Macaca fascicularis: one gene and its partners. The protein of the gene in region 4 purifies or fractionates together with the protein of the main gene of each other region. This does not show direct contact. Links are inferred from orthologs where the notes say so. Each region holds a gene or a part of one and is shown on either strand. Other genes may lie near its edges.

Region 1 (3,609 bases), on a different chromosome or scaffold from region 4:
AACAGCCATTGGTTTTACTACTTTGAATATTATATTTGATACCAAAAGAAGTATAAGTTTAAAAGTGGTCTCACTGAAACTATTATAATTTAATTGCTTTTTTTTTTTTTTGAGGTCCCTCTGTTGCCCAGGCTGGAGTGGAGTGCAGTGGCGTGATCTGGGCTCACTGCAACCTCTGCCTCCCAGGTTCAAACGATCCTCCTGCCTCAGCCTCCCAAGTAGCTGAGACTACAGGTACCAGCCACCATGTCCGGCTAATTTTTTAATTTTTAGTAGAGATGGGGTTTCACTGTGTTGGCCAGGCTGGTGTCAAACTCCTGACCTCAGGTGATCCGCCTGCCTCTGCCTCCCAAAGTGCTGGGACTCTATAGGAGTGAGCCACTGCGCCCGGCCTGCTTTGTGTTTTTTAGAAAGTAAACAAAAATAATCTGTACCAGGTATCCCGGTAACTGGCTTCATGTACAATTTCTACCCAATAGTCAGAAAGTTAAAAGCCACACTAGATAAGACATCTTTATTACTTAACCTTTAAAACAGTCACTTGCCTATCCAATTCTGAAACTGTTTTCTTTCCCTTCCCCGCACCCCCCGCTCTGATACACAAGCTTGTTGTAAAAATAATGCAGAAACATATACGTCAATTTAAGTGTGAAATATGGCCAACTCTACCTCACCCTATATCCAAAGTTAAAAATAAAAAAGGCTGTTTAAGAATAGAACTCATTCCTGGTTTCCACCAAATTATTTCCCTAATTCTTAAATCCTCAAATAAGTTCTTAATCTCCAGCCAAAGTCTCGGTTGTGGGAAAAACATTAATTTCTGCAGTCCAACACTTACATACTCTCTTGAGGGAAGGGCAATCCTGTCCCTTTAAACTCAATGAAGGCAGCGGCCAGGTCCTTCTGAGTCCCCGTACAAGTACCTAGAACTTAACACTTAGTATTTATAGTCCTTGGTTTTCAGTCGGGTCCGACGGTGAGAAACTATTACTTCCTCCTCGTTCCTCCTGGGCGCTGTCCTCCTTTTCTCTTGTCACCCAAGCCACGCGGCCCGGAATTCATCTTGCCTCCCAAGCTCCCTTTCCTCTTCCCTCCCTGGCTGGGCGGCCCCCCTTTCCTCTTGCCCCCAGGTCCCTGCCGGCCTCCCTTTCTCTTGCCCTTCTGGCTCATTTTCCTCCTCTTGGCGGCCTCCTCCTGGTCCTCCTCCCTCATCTGCTTATTGGTGGCTCTTGTCACATCCAGCTGAGGCTTTTTGCTGTTCATCACACGAAGCAGCTCCAACTGGTTCTTTTTCTCGGCTGCAAAGTCCCCGAAAAGGGGTTGAAACTTCCTCTTCTTGCCGGAGCCCCGGGGCGCCTTCTCCTTGGGGAGGCGCTCCTGGAAGCGCCCCACAGAGGCGGTGGAGACCTTGGCCACCTGCATAGCGCGGCCCAGCTCCTCCTTACTCTGGTGTCCGGTAGGGTGCAAGCCGGCCGCGCTGGGCAGCTGCATCTTGTGCGCGCGGGCCAGGTTACGCAGCCGGTTCAGCTCGTTCTTGGCCACTCGTTCTTTCTTGGCCTGAATACGCTTGGCGAACTGGTCCTCCAAGGGGTCGGCATTGCCGGGCACCTCAATCAGCCATTCCTTGGTGTCGTCCCGGGCGCGCTGGTAGCCCCAGCGCCGCCGCCACTGGCTGCTCACCTCGTCCCACACCAGGTTGGTCTTCTTCTTGGGACGGATGCCCTTGAGGCGCGCGAACTGCTGCCAGCGTGTAAGTGGCCGCGGCCGGGGCAGAGGCTTCTCTCGCGGCAGGCGTGTGGTGGGCTCCGGCAGCCGCGCCACTATCGTCTCTTCCACGCGCTCCGTGGGCAGCTGCCACAGCTGGTTGATGAGCAATTGCGTATTGTCCCGCGCCAGGGCCCGCAGCTCGGCCTCCGGCGTGGGTCCGGCGCACCGCAGTCCAATCGGGGGGTTCCGGTCCGAAGCCAGGAGGTTGCCCAGGTCAAACTCCAGCTCCAGCTCCTTGTGCACCGTGATGCGTTGCAACTTCTCTGCCTCGTCCTGCTCTGCCTTTGCCAGCAGCTCCTCCACGCTCTGGCCCTCCATGGCTCCGGCTCGGCTCACTCGCTTTGGGGCTGCAGCTGAAGTTACTTTTCCTACAGCGGCGGCCCAAACTCCGGCAACATAACCACGTGCAGACGCCGGGATGCCCAATCCGGAAAAGAAAGGTTCGCTTCCGGAGCGCCCGGAACCGGCTCGCCATCCGGGCAACCAGAGGAAAGGCCGGCAGAGGGCGGTATGGAGAGATGATAGGATTAGAAGCGGCACCTTAGGCTGACGCCTGATAGAGGCGGAGCTGGCGCCAGCAGCCAGCACTACTCGTTCCAGAGCAGGATTGGGACTACGATTCCCAGGATGCAGCGGGGCGCGGGGGCGGTCCAGGGGGCGGTCCTGGGACAGTCTCGCTGTCGGTCTAGAGAGGGCGGTCCTGGGGGGCGGTCTAGGGGGCGGTCCTGGGCGGGCAGTTCAGGGTGTGGTGTTAGGATGGTGGTCCGGGGACAGTCTTGGGGCGCAATCCGGCGGGGCGGTCCAGGACCAGGGCGGGTACAAATTCCTGGGACTGCCTGTGGTGTGGGTTTCCAATCAAGTGCATGTTACAATTTCTGTGTAAATCCGTTGTGAAGATGTTTAGACAATCACCCTTCTTAGGGCCAAATTGTTTCACCGGAGTCATAATTTGCTTTCAGGGTTCCTAGTTGTGGCACGAGAAACATAACATCCCACAGATGCTAATTGTAGAAGATTGGTTTTGTTTTGGGAGTCAGTGGCTCTGGCAATGAAGCTGCCCCGAGTGGGCGCAGGTGTGCACCGACCCTAGCGAGCTAGCTGACTTGGAGCTCCGGGGTTCTGCAGTTACAGAACCTAGTCTAGTACAATGCTGAAACTACGCTACACTCTGCAGTTACACTCTCCGCCAGGCTCTGCAGTTACACTGCCTAGGTTCCAATCCTGACTGTGCCACTGTTGGTGCTTCAGCAATTTTACTTGTTGAGGCCATTTTAAGGCCTGTGAGATAAGGATAAAAATACTTTCTAGGGTGGTTATAAGATAAATGAGTTAATATCTTCCAAGGGAGGGTTAAACGAGGGCCTGAAGCATATGAGTACTCGATACAAGTTAGCTAAATACCGATTATTTCGTTTTCATAGGCTCTGGGAGCTAAGCTGAAGAGGCAGTGCTGCATGGTGTTCTGCAGTGGTTCTTGAGTTAAACGGCCTACAGTCAGGTATCAGGTCACAATTACTTGGAGAGGATGTTTGACCTAAAGCCTTATTTATAAATTGACAAACATGAAACATTAGTTCCTGCTACATAGTAAGAACTCAATATGTGTTAGCTATTAGTATTAACTATGTTATTAATTATTGTATTAACTATATTATTTTCACAGATGAAACAAGGAGGGCTCAGAGAGGTGAAATGACTTATCTAAAGTTATGCAACTAGGAAGTATAAGAACAAGAGATATGTTAACTCTGGCTTTAAGTCTGTAGATGTGTTCTCTGATTGTCATCCAAGCTCTTGATACTTATTAAAGTGTGGTCTGCATACCAGCAGCATAATATCCCC
Region 2 (3,971 bases), on a different chromosome or scaffold from region 4:
ACAGAGCCAGACTCCGTCTCAAAAAAAAAAAAAAAAGATTTACCATCTGGCCCTTGATAGGTCGGTCAACCCCTGCTCTAAGCACATGAAAACAAGGTGCCTGGGACACACAGGCACCTGCAATAGCTACTGAACAGCATGTATGAACAGCATGTCCTTTGGTCTTTTTTTTTTTTTTGAGACAGTCTCATTCAGTCACCCAGGCTGGAGTGCAGTGGGAGGATCTTGGATCACTGCAGCCTCCATCTCCTAGGTTCAAGCAATTCTCCTGTCTCAGCCTCCCAACTAGCTGGGACTACAGGCACGTGGACTACAGGCACGCGCCACCAGGCCTGGTTAATTTTTGTATTTTTAGTAGAGACGGGGTTTCACCATGTTGGCAAGGCTGGTCTCAAACTCCTGACCTCAAGTGATCCACTCACGTTGGCATCCCAAAGTGCTCAGATTACAGGCATGAGCCGCCACGCCCAGCCTCCTTTCGTCTTTTCAACTTTTTTTTTTTTTTTTTTTTGAGACACAGTTTCACTCTGTTACCCAGGCTGGAGTGCAGTGGGGCAATCACAGCTCACCTAGCTCAGGTGATCCTCCTACCTCAGTCTCCCAAGTAGCTGGGAATACAGGCACACAGCACCATGCCCAGCTAATTTTTGTATTTTTTGTAGATGCAGAGTCTCACCATGTTGCCCAGGCTGGTCTTGAACTCCTGACATCAAGTGATCCTCACTCCTCCAACTCCCAAAGTGCTGGGATTACAGGCATGAGCCATGGCACCTGGCCAACAATCTTTGAAACATATATAATCATTTACTTGCCTTCTACAGATGTGGAAACAGTCACAGAGAAGTTAAGCAACCTCTCCAATGTCCCACAGCCAGTGCAAGGTTGGGCCAGATTTGAACACAGGGCGGTGCCGTGAGAACGCCCTTGGTCTGAACTACACACAGACTCCTCTTCTTTGGTACTCACTACCTCTGCCCACCTGTGCTGTTCATTACCTTTAGTAGTTTCTCTACATTTGTTGAGCACCTACTGTGTGCCAGGAGCTGGCTAGGCTGGAAGGGGAGGGAGATGGTGGGATGAGGTCTCCTCCAGTTCCTGCCTTGGGGTTTGATCCTTTCTCTTCATATAAATGCCCACTTACTCATCTCCTTGCCCTGAGCCTACCTGGTGCCAGGCACCTGCTGGGAACAGGACTGTGGGAAATAATGGCCAAAACCCTTCTGCCCCGTTGGTGCTCACACCTGTCCCCTCATGTGCATACATGTAGCATTCAGTAATGGAAAGGGCACAGGCCTTGGAATCAGACAGTCCCAAGTTTGAATCTCCTGGCTCTTGTACTCACAAGCTGTAGGGTCTTGGTCAAGTTTCTTTCTTTCTTTTTTTTGTAAAGCTGGGATCTCCTTTTTGTGTGTGTGTGTGTGTGTGTGTGTGTGTGTGTGTGTGTGTGTGTGTGTGTGTAGCCACTGCTCACTGTAGTCTCCGCTTCCCAGGTTCAAGTGATCCTCCCATGTCAGCCTCTGTAGGAGCTGGGACCACAGGCAGGCGCCACCACGCCAGGCTAATTTTTTTTTTTTCTTTTTTGAGACAGAGTCTTGCTCTGTCACCCAGGCTGGAGTGCAGTGGTGCGATATTGGCTCACTGCAACCTCTGCCTCCCAGTTTCAAGCGATTCTCCTGCCTCAGCCTCCCTAGTAGCTGGGATTACAGGCGCGTGCCACTACAACTGGCTATTTTTGTATTTTTAGTAGAGACAGGGTTTCACCATGTTGGCCAGGCTGGTCTTGCACTCCCCACCTCAAGTGATCCGCCCACCTCGGCCTCCTAAAGTGCTGGGATTACAGGCTTGAGCCACTGCGGCCATCCTCATTTTTTAATTTTTTGTAGAGTCGGGGGCCTCCCTATGTTGCCCAGGCTGATCTTGAACTCCTGACCTCAAGCAATCCTCCCACCTCAGCCTCCCTAAGTGCTGGGTTTACAGGCGTGTAGCCACTACACCAGGCCTTTGACTATTTCTTAACCCTCGAGGCCTCAATTTCCTCCTGTGGAAAAATGAAGATGACAGTTGCCGGTGGTGTTAGCACAGCGTTGGTGTGAGGATTACATAATAAGGCTCGTACAGCTCTTAGCATGGAGCCTGGCACATAGTAAATGGTCAACAAACACAAACTGGCCGGGCTCATGCTAATTTTTAAATTAGCTTCCCAGAGGTTTGGGGGCGTCACTGTCTCAAGCCACGCAGTCCGTCCTTCCCTTAACTCAACCTCCCAAGAACGCTCCAAACTCTCAAAGTCAGATTTTCTGCACCGGCACTTTTCATTGGGCGAAAGGCAACCAGGATCCGCCCCATGTGCAGGAGGCAGCCAATGAGAGACGCGCGACCAAAACCCGGCAGGAAGGCCCCGCAGGCTCCAGCCGCGGGACCCTAAGCCTGACAAGCCCCGAGACACGTGCTCAGGCCGGCGGTCCCAAGACCGGTCCTCGGGCTGGCAGCCTCCCTCCTCACTCTCTGCGGAGCCCACTCCCCAGCTGGGGAAACTGAGGCCTCGGGGCGCTGCCGGGAGCCGGGTCTCGGGCCCCAAAGTGCGTCCCAGCCCCAAGCGCCTACCTTCTGGGCCCGGGCGTCATCTTCCGCCTGGATCTCAAACTCGCCGTCCTCCGAGTCGCTGCCGCGGGCCTGGGAGGCCGTGCCTCGGCGCTTCCGGAGCCCCTTCTTCTTCCTCCACTGGGCCATGGCAGCTCTCGACCGAGGGCCGGCCGCCGGGCGCCTGCCTGCCGCCATTCGGGCCTCGCGCTGGGAACGCAAAAGGGGGCGTGGCCTGCGGCGCGCACCAACTGCTTGGGGCGGGGAGGCGCGATGGCCATGTGACCTCGGCTGCGCTTTCGCCAGTGTCTGCGGCCCTGGGCGGCCTAGTACACCAGCCCCTGAGTGAGTGGCACCAGAGGCCCCTCGCCGTGTTTAGGTACCTCCTGGGCGTCAGGGGCGTGGCGCCCGCCCCTGGGCGGACTCCCCCCATCCCTTGGCGCGAATGGTCCGGGCCGCGTGCGCAGTGCTGCTGGCTGCTCCCTGTTTGCTGGGTGCTAGGTGCTGGGTTCTGGTTTTCTGGATGCGCGCGCCGCTCACACGTCGCCTGTGCCAGCTCCTCGGGTGAGTTGGTCCGCGCGCGGTGCCCCGGCACGGCCTGGGCTGCCGGCGGTCCGGGGCCCCGGGCATTCCGGGCTGCAAATTGACGCGGATCCCGGATGCACCGCGCTCCCCCGCGCCCTCGCCGGGGGGTCCAGATCTGGAGGGAAGAAGACGCGGGGAGGGGTCCTTGAGGACCCCGATGACTACGAACCAAGATGCTCAGGTAGGAGAAAGCTCAAAAATGCAGGGACCTCGGGCATTTTTTAATCGGGTCATTGAATTTGGGAGTCGCAGAATGTGGGGCAGTGGGGGCGGCGGTAATCTCCCGATAGCAGTGTAGCCAAGTACACAAGCTCTGGACTCAGATTTCACTTCCACCGTTTTAGCTTTATAGGTGTGACCTACACATGTGACTTCACCTCAGTTTTGTGATCTGTAAAATGGACAAATTCGAAGCTACTTCACAGTGCTGTTGAGAGGATTAAATGAAACAATGCTTGTAAAGCTCTTTGCAGGAGGTAGGCATGGAATCCACGCTGGCTGTCATTGCCCCTGCACCCATCAGTACACACAGGATATAGGAATGTGCCTGTCTCCCCTACCACCATAGTGCGTTTTCTGGTTGGTGCCTAAATGGGCACAGGTGTCATCTCTCCTTCACCCCCAGAGTCATTCTATAAATGATTGCCAGTAGCACCCCTTTCTCCACCATTTTGACAACTAAAAAAAAAAGCCAAAAAAATTTCCAAAATGCCCCCTGAAGTTGACAGCTCCCCTTTGAGATATTGGTTGAGAGAGAACTAAACCCTTGGGATGAGAACTTCAGAGACTACCAGTATTCCTCCATT
Region 3 (4,134 bases), on a different chromosome or scaffold from region 4:
CCCTCTAAGAGCTCCATAGGGAAGACATCAGTCTCTAGTTTTAAACTCAGGAAACCTTGGGCTTGGGAGGTGAGAAAACCTCCCCTCAGCCTGGGAAGCCTGTAATTCACCTCTATTAAAGACTTTTTAAAAATCAGAAACTTGTATATTCAAAAAAGTAGGAGAATGACTAAAATACATAGGGTATATCCAAATATCCAAAGCATTTTGTTTGTTTTTGAGACGGAGTCTCACTCTGTTGCCAGGCTGGAGTGCAGTGGCATGATCTTGGCTTCCTGCAACCTCTGCCTCCTGGGTTCAACCAATCCTCCTGCCTCAGCCTCCCGAGTAGCTGGGACTACAGGCGCACGCTGGCCAGGATGGTCTTGATCTCTTGACCTCCCAATCCGCCCGCCTCAGCCTCCCAAAGTGCTGGGATTACAGGCGTGAGCCACCACACACAGCCAAGCATTTTTAATAACTAAGGATATGGATATAGATGTTTATGACAGAATCATGACAGAATAAAGTATCATAACATTTCTAATGCATACACATAACAGAGGGGGAAAAAAAAAGACTGGAAGGAAGTATCAAAGTATAAAGTAGCTACTTCTAGATGGTGGGACTTTTGTTGTTTTGTTTTTGTGGAGTCTTAAAAAATTCACGTGTTACTAATAAAGTCAGGGAAATCAATAACTATCAATGAATAATTCCATGATGTAATGTGTCCAAATGTTTCCTCATTTTAAAACTATACTGAAGCCTTTGTACAGACCTCAAAAGTTCTCGCCGGGTGTGGTGGTTCACGCCTGTAAGCCCAGCACTTTGGAAGGCCGAGGCGGGTGGATCACCTGAAGTCAGGAATTCGAGACCAACCTGGCCAACATGGCGAAACCCCATCTCTACCAAAAACACAAAACTTAGCCGGGAGTGGTGGTGGAGCTGCAGGAGAGGCTGAGGCAAGAGAATCACTTGAAACCGGAAGGCGGAAGTTGCAGTGAGCCGAGATCGTGTGCCATTGCACTCCAACCTAGGCGACAGAGCGAGACTCCGTCTCAAAAAAAAAAAAAAAAAAAAAAAAAAAAATAGTTCCTTGATTACCTACAGTAAAATATTGCATCATCACAATAAAAACGTCAGAAATATCACTCTAAAAGTAACATGCTACTTCGATGTAAAAGTGACATGCTACTTAGAAATTCCGGTACCTACTGCATTACAAACATCAAGTTCATTTACTGAAGCTTACCACACTTTTTTTTTTTTTTTTTTTCTTTTGAGACGGAGTCTCGCTCTGTCGCCCAGGCTGGAGTGCAGTGGCCGCATCTCAGCTCACTGCAAGCTCCGCCTCCCGGGTCTACGCCATTCTCCTGCCTCAGCCTCCCGAGTAGCTGGGACTACAGGCGCCCGCCACCTCACCCGGCTAGTTTTTTGTATTTTTTAGTAGAGACGGGGTTTCACTGTATTAGCCAGGCTGGTCTCGATCTCCTGACCTTGTGATCCGCCCGTCTCGGCCTCCCAAAGTGCTGGGATTACAGGCTTGAGCCACCGCGCCCGGCCTAGCTTACCACACTTTAACTGTCCCTTCTAACCTTCCAATCCAAACACAGATTTTAGCATATGTCTTATTATAAAACACTAAATCACTGTCAAGGACCCCAATTTATAAGTAAAGGAGAAAGTATAAAGAATTCAAATACCCCAACGCAGAAAAACGAGAGACAGAATTCACACTCAAGTCTTCCCGACTCCAAAACCTGAGCTCTTCCCAGTTCACCAATCTTCTCAACTTGTAAACCCTGTGTTGCCGGCCACATAAAGATCCCGCAAAAATCAATCAACAACTAATTAATGGGGGCTGCCTTTTGCTCTAACTACTGTGGGAGCCCCAGAAGTAGTACCACAAGGCCCTTGACTTCAAGCTTGCATTCTTCGTGAAGAAGGTATTTAAAAGAATGAGATGAGGAACAAGAACCAGGTAAAATTAGATGTAAAAAAAACAGCTATAGTGCGGGGTCAGATGAAGGAAGCGCTGAGATTACTATAGGCTGAAGCTGTCATGGAAGGCCTGGATGGGGAAGGCCTTGAAGGAGATGATTATTTTTCACTCACTCATTCATTTATCTATCTACACATAACATCTAGGTGGCAGGCACCACTTTAGGTGCACTGGCAAACAAAACCAAATCCTGAATGTGATTGCTGAATAAAAAGTATAAAGGAATGTGCACAGTGAAGGATTTAAGAACGTGGAAGGATCTGGAATCAGATTACCTAAGTTTAAAGCTTAGAGCTGCCGCCGGGCACTGCGGGCAAGCTCCACGGAAAGCAAGTGTTGTCACCCACCCATTCAACCCGACTCCCCAGTTACAGGCACTTAGCGGGTGAGTATCAAGCCACGCAATCCCCGAGGATGCTCGAGAAGCACGCGCCCAGAGCGGCTGCGTATTGGAGAGGTGATTCTGTTATCTAGGAGCGCCCCAAAAGAGGGGTGGAGGACAGTCGGCGTAGGCCAGGTATCCGTCCGGATGCAGAGCCTTCATCCTGAGGCCGGTCCCCTCTCGGGACAGGAAGAACACAGACACCGATCTTGGCATCCATACGCGGCCCTCCCGCGTTGGGTACCTGCGTCCCGAGCCCGGCGGATCCCAGCCAGTGGAGAAGCAGAAGCACGTGGGAGCACGGAACAACTCCGAAAGAGAAGGCACAACTAACTGCCCCTAGCGGATGCCTGGTGACCGGGTCTCGGACTTGGCCTGGCTCCGCGGCACGCGCCGCTCTCAGGCACTGGTACACTGCACGTGCGCAAGCGCATTACAGTCGCAGCGATGGCGAGCGAGAAGGGACCTTCCTCAAGGCTGTCGCTGAGTAATGACGTAAGCCACCGGAGGCGGAGCTGGGGTCTAGATGTCCACTGCGGTTGCGCATTTTAGTCTCACAGCTCGCGGTAGCTGGGGTATTGGGTGCGGTTTGCCTCTTCACGCTCATCATATCCGAACTAAGGTACCTTGGCTGAGAAGGGCAAAATAGATGTCCGCACCCCCAGGGCCTGCCCACTAGGTCCAGGGTTTTCAGCGTCAGCCTGGGTACGCGAGACGCGACGGATCCAGCTATCTGTGCTCAATTTAACCGATCCCCGTAAGTTGAGGAAACTCGGCCGACAGACCTATTTTATTGGTCTCGCTTGTCCCTCCACCCCCACAGTACTGATCTTACAGATGGGAATCCTGTAATCTACCCATGACTGCGGCCTCTGTACTTTGCAGGCTCCCATTAGGCCTGCAAAGTCAAATGAAATTACTCCCCCTGGGCTTCCAGTAAACTCCAAGAACATGACTACAAGGACAACCTATACATAGCGTGTTGCATTCTTGACTTTGGGGCAGATCGCTGAACTTCAAAAAGCATTATCAACTGCTTGATGTTTCCTCCTGGATACCGCAGATGTCTGAATGCAAACCCCTTCCCCAGATAGACACTTCCAATTTTAATGTCATCAGCAGCACCACCCATTTAATCCAACATTCATCATGAAATTTTTTAGTTCATTCAGCAAAATGTCAATATGCCCATGCACTATTCTGCTCACAAGGGATAGTGACCAAAATGTTACTGCCCCTCGTGGTTAATTCTAGGTTGTTTTAAATGCTATTAAGCAAAAGTATCCAGTGAGTGAAGTAACTAAGGGCACTATTTTAGAAGCGAACACGGAAGGCCTCTGACGGGGGAGGGGGTGACACTGGATGAAACAAGGACCTAAAATTTATAAAGAATAAGCCCTGACAGTATCTGAGTGAAATGCTCCCCCATGCCAAAGATGTACATACAAAAGCTCCAAGATGGGGAAGAAGTCCTGGCAAAGCAGTCTGTGGCCAAAGCAGTGGGCAAGTGAAGGACCAGATTTAGAATTTAATTCTAGTCATCATGAGAAACCACTGGAGTTTGTGGGGGACAGGGAAATGAGAAAATGTGCTTTGCCCTCTTAAAAGGCTCTTAGCCAAAAAACTAAACCACAGGAAGGCAACGGTAGAAAACGGGAGAACGATTATAAGCTATTGTAGTCACCTGTGCTAGGATGGTAGTCGTGGCAGTGGTTAAAAGTATTAGATAACTGGATATTCAAGTTAAACTACGTGAACTCACTTAAGGATT
Region 4 (2,309 bases):
GAGGATTGAAAAGGCAGGATTCACAGACCAAGTGTCTGAAGCTATTTGGTACCTGTCATTCAGGACCTCCAGCTCTATTTACTCTATCAAAGACCAAAGTTTCCAGAAACACCCTGTATTTCTCATAGATTGGAAAATTATTGATCCAGTTTCAGAAGATAAGTGTTAATTTTCTTTTGCAGAAAAATGTAAGGGGTGAATTCACTTATTATGAAATACAAGATAATACAGGGAAGATGGAAGTGGTGGTGCATGGACGACTGACCACAATCAACTGTGAGGAAGGAGATAAACTGAAACTCACCTGCTTTGAATTGGCACCGAAAAGTGGCAATAACGGGGAGTTGAGATCTGTAATTCATAGTCACATCAAGGTTGGAACTTTATGGGAACATCATTTTTCCAAAGTGGCAAATCGTTTTGTTTATACTTTAAGAAAACTAGACTGCTACTATTACACGGAGAGTTTAGCAAGTGGAAAAGGAACAAAGCCTTGCACTTTACTGGGTGTAAACTTCCCATCATTGTTTTTGAAGAAGGATACTTGTAATCATAATAAAAAAAATTAGAGAGACTTTCAAAGGCTATGATACCTAAGTTAAATAAGAAAGAATTGGTTGCTTTTACCACAGCATGGAGATAATTTAATCAGAATTTGCGTTTGGTTAAGGCACATTTGTTTCAAATGCTGGCTCTGTGATTTTCTAGTTGACTAAAGACTTAACACTAGGAACCTCAAGTTCATCATTTGTGAAATGGGAGAAATATTGTCTACCATAGAGGGTCATCAACTTAGCTCACAGCAGCCCTAAATTACCAAGAATGCATCTGAGCAAATCAGATCACAAAGGTACCTGCCTTTAGTGAGATACATACACTGGTTTACATCTGACAGAGGTAGTTGGGTCTACATAACAAAGTTCATGCTTTTTGCCACACTGACACACACATTCATGTGGGATTCTTGGAACACTAACAAAGGCTAATACTGGAAGGCAAACAATTCAAAACAAAGGCTGACATATTCAGGCACACACATGCTCTCAGATTGCTTCAGTTCTCGGGAACATCAGTCAAACATTCCAAATCTTCTTTGATAGCAATTGCACCAGGAATACCTTTTGTACTCTCTTCCTTCCTTTCTGCCCAATGAAAACCTTCCCCTCAACTCTAGTCATTGGGTGCACCAGCTCCTTTCTCTCTCCTGTTGTTCCCTGACATCTCCTGCTCTTTCACTTGCACTCATGCTAAGTAGGAGTGAATATCTTATTTCACGGTCCCAATTAAAGAGAGAGGCATGACTCAAAGGTCAAGAATTTATTAAAGGAGACAGATGGGAGTGAGAAAAGAATCATTTAGAAAGGAATAGGGGAAGAGATATGGTGCATGGGGAGGAGATACAGTGTGATTGAAGAGAGAAATGTGGGATCACCAGCATCTCAACTGGTCTGTCTTTATCTCTTTCTCCTTCAAGGTCATCAAGGCCAGGAAAAACAAGAAAGACATATTCAATCCTGATTCAAGTATGGAAACTTCACCAGGCTTTTTCTTCTAAAATCTGAATGTCATTGATGGTAATGTTTATGGAGATAGGTCTAAGTGCCTAAAAAATGTACATATACCTGGTTGAAATACGACACTATATATGCACACCATTATCATATATACCAGCTGTTAATCCTATGGAATGGGGTATTGGGAGTGCTTTTTAAATTCTTTATAGGTTTTTTTTTAATAAAATGTCATATGTTGTATCTTCAACTTCTATAATTTGAAAAAAAAAAAATAAACATTATCTTTTTTCTGAAAGGAATTCTTCCCCAGCAGTCTTTTTAATCCATCCATGAGTTGCTTAAAAGCAAATAGTTTGTGGTCTGCAAATTAGGGTGGGGCACACAGGCCTCAAGCAATATTTGGATTTATACTTTGGGTGTGATCTTTACAGGGTAAAGCCCTGGTCAAGAATGAACAGGCTGTGTTCTGCTGAAAGAAACCAGGCTGAAGGGGTAGGTAGGGTGAAATCCAGCTTGTGGTTCAGTTGCCAAGCGCTGTGTTATTGTTTTAGCCCAGAGCAGTAGATACCTTTTCAGAATTGGTCTCCTGGAGGGGGCATAATTGGGTAAATTTTCTGCCAAATAAGGTACCTTCTGGTGATGTGCATGAAGGCACTTGTCTGTGTTAGAGGAATATCTGGGCCTGCCTGATGTGAAATATCTGGTTTTATGCATTTCCTCAAACACCGACTGCTCTTCAGGCACTTTCGAACCATATTTCCTTTTCTCACAATCCACTATAGTGATCTGATCCAT

The links.
Region 1: the proteins of gamma-interferon-inducible protein 16 (region 4) and RRS1 purify together in Homo sapiens (affinity purification with mass spectrometry; 3 studies listed by BioGRID and IntAct, with this or other methods). This does not show direct contact. The link is inferred for Macaca fascicularis from reciprocal best matches to the Homo sapiens genes IFI16 and RRS1.
Region 2: the proteins of gamma-interferon-inducible protein 16 (region 4) and DDX54 purify together in Homo sapiens (affinity purification with mass spectrometry; 3 studies listed by BioGRID and IntAct, with this or other methods). This does not show direct contact. The link is inferred for Macaca fascicularis from reciprocal best matches to the Homo sapiens genes IFI16 and DDX54.
Region 3: the proteins of gamma-interferon-inducible protein 16 (region 4) and NAT10 purify together in Homo sapiens (affinity purification with mass spectrometry; 3 studies listed by BioGRID and IntAct, with this or other methods). This does not show direct contact. The link is inferred for Macaca fascicularis from reciprocal best matches to the Homo sapiens genes IFI16 and NAT10.

Annotation. Positions count from the first base shown.
Region 1 is NC_088382.1:76,416,294-76,419,902, reverse strand, and holds RRS1 (ribosome biogenesis regulatory protein homolog), read right to left. Parts: upstream 2,204-3,609; 5' UTR 2,086-2,203; coding exon 988-2,085; 3' UTR 501-987; downstream 1-500. UniProt on the Homo sapiens protein: Involved in ribosomal large subunit assembly. May regulate the localization of the 5S RNP/5S ribonucleoprotein particle to the nucleolus.
Region 2 is NC_088385.1:120,109,702-120,113,672, forward strand, and holds the start of DDX54 (ATP-dependent RNA helicase DDX54), read right to left. Parts: upstream 2,801-3,971; 5' UTR 2,779-2,800; coding exon 2,605-2,778; intron 1-2,604. Other genes in the region: RITA1 (RBPJ-interacting and tubulin-associated protein 1), read left to right, coding at 3,339-3,346.
Region 3 is NC_088388.1:31,470,425-31,474,558, forward strand, and holds the start of NAT10 (RNA cytidine acetyltransferase), read right to left. Parts: upstream 2,801-4,134; 5' UTR 2,329-2,800; intron 1,777-2,328; exon of another isoform or gene 1,683-1,776; intron 1-1,682. UniProt on the Homo sapiens protein: RNA cytidine acetyltransferase that catalyzes the formation of N(4)-acetylcytidine (ac4C) modification on mRNAs, 18S rRNA and tRNAs.
Region 4 is NC_088375.1:102,032,000-102,034,308, reverse strand, and holds the end of gamma-interferon-inducible protein 16, read left to right. Parts: intron 1-182; coding exon 183-374; intron 375-1,474; coding exon 1,475-1,555; 3' UTR 1,556-1,809; downstream 1,810-2,309.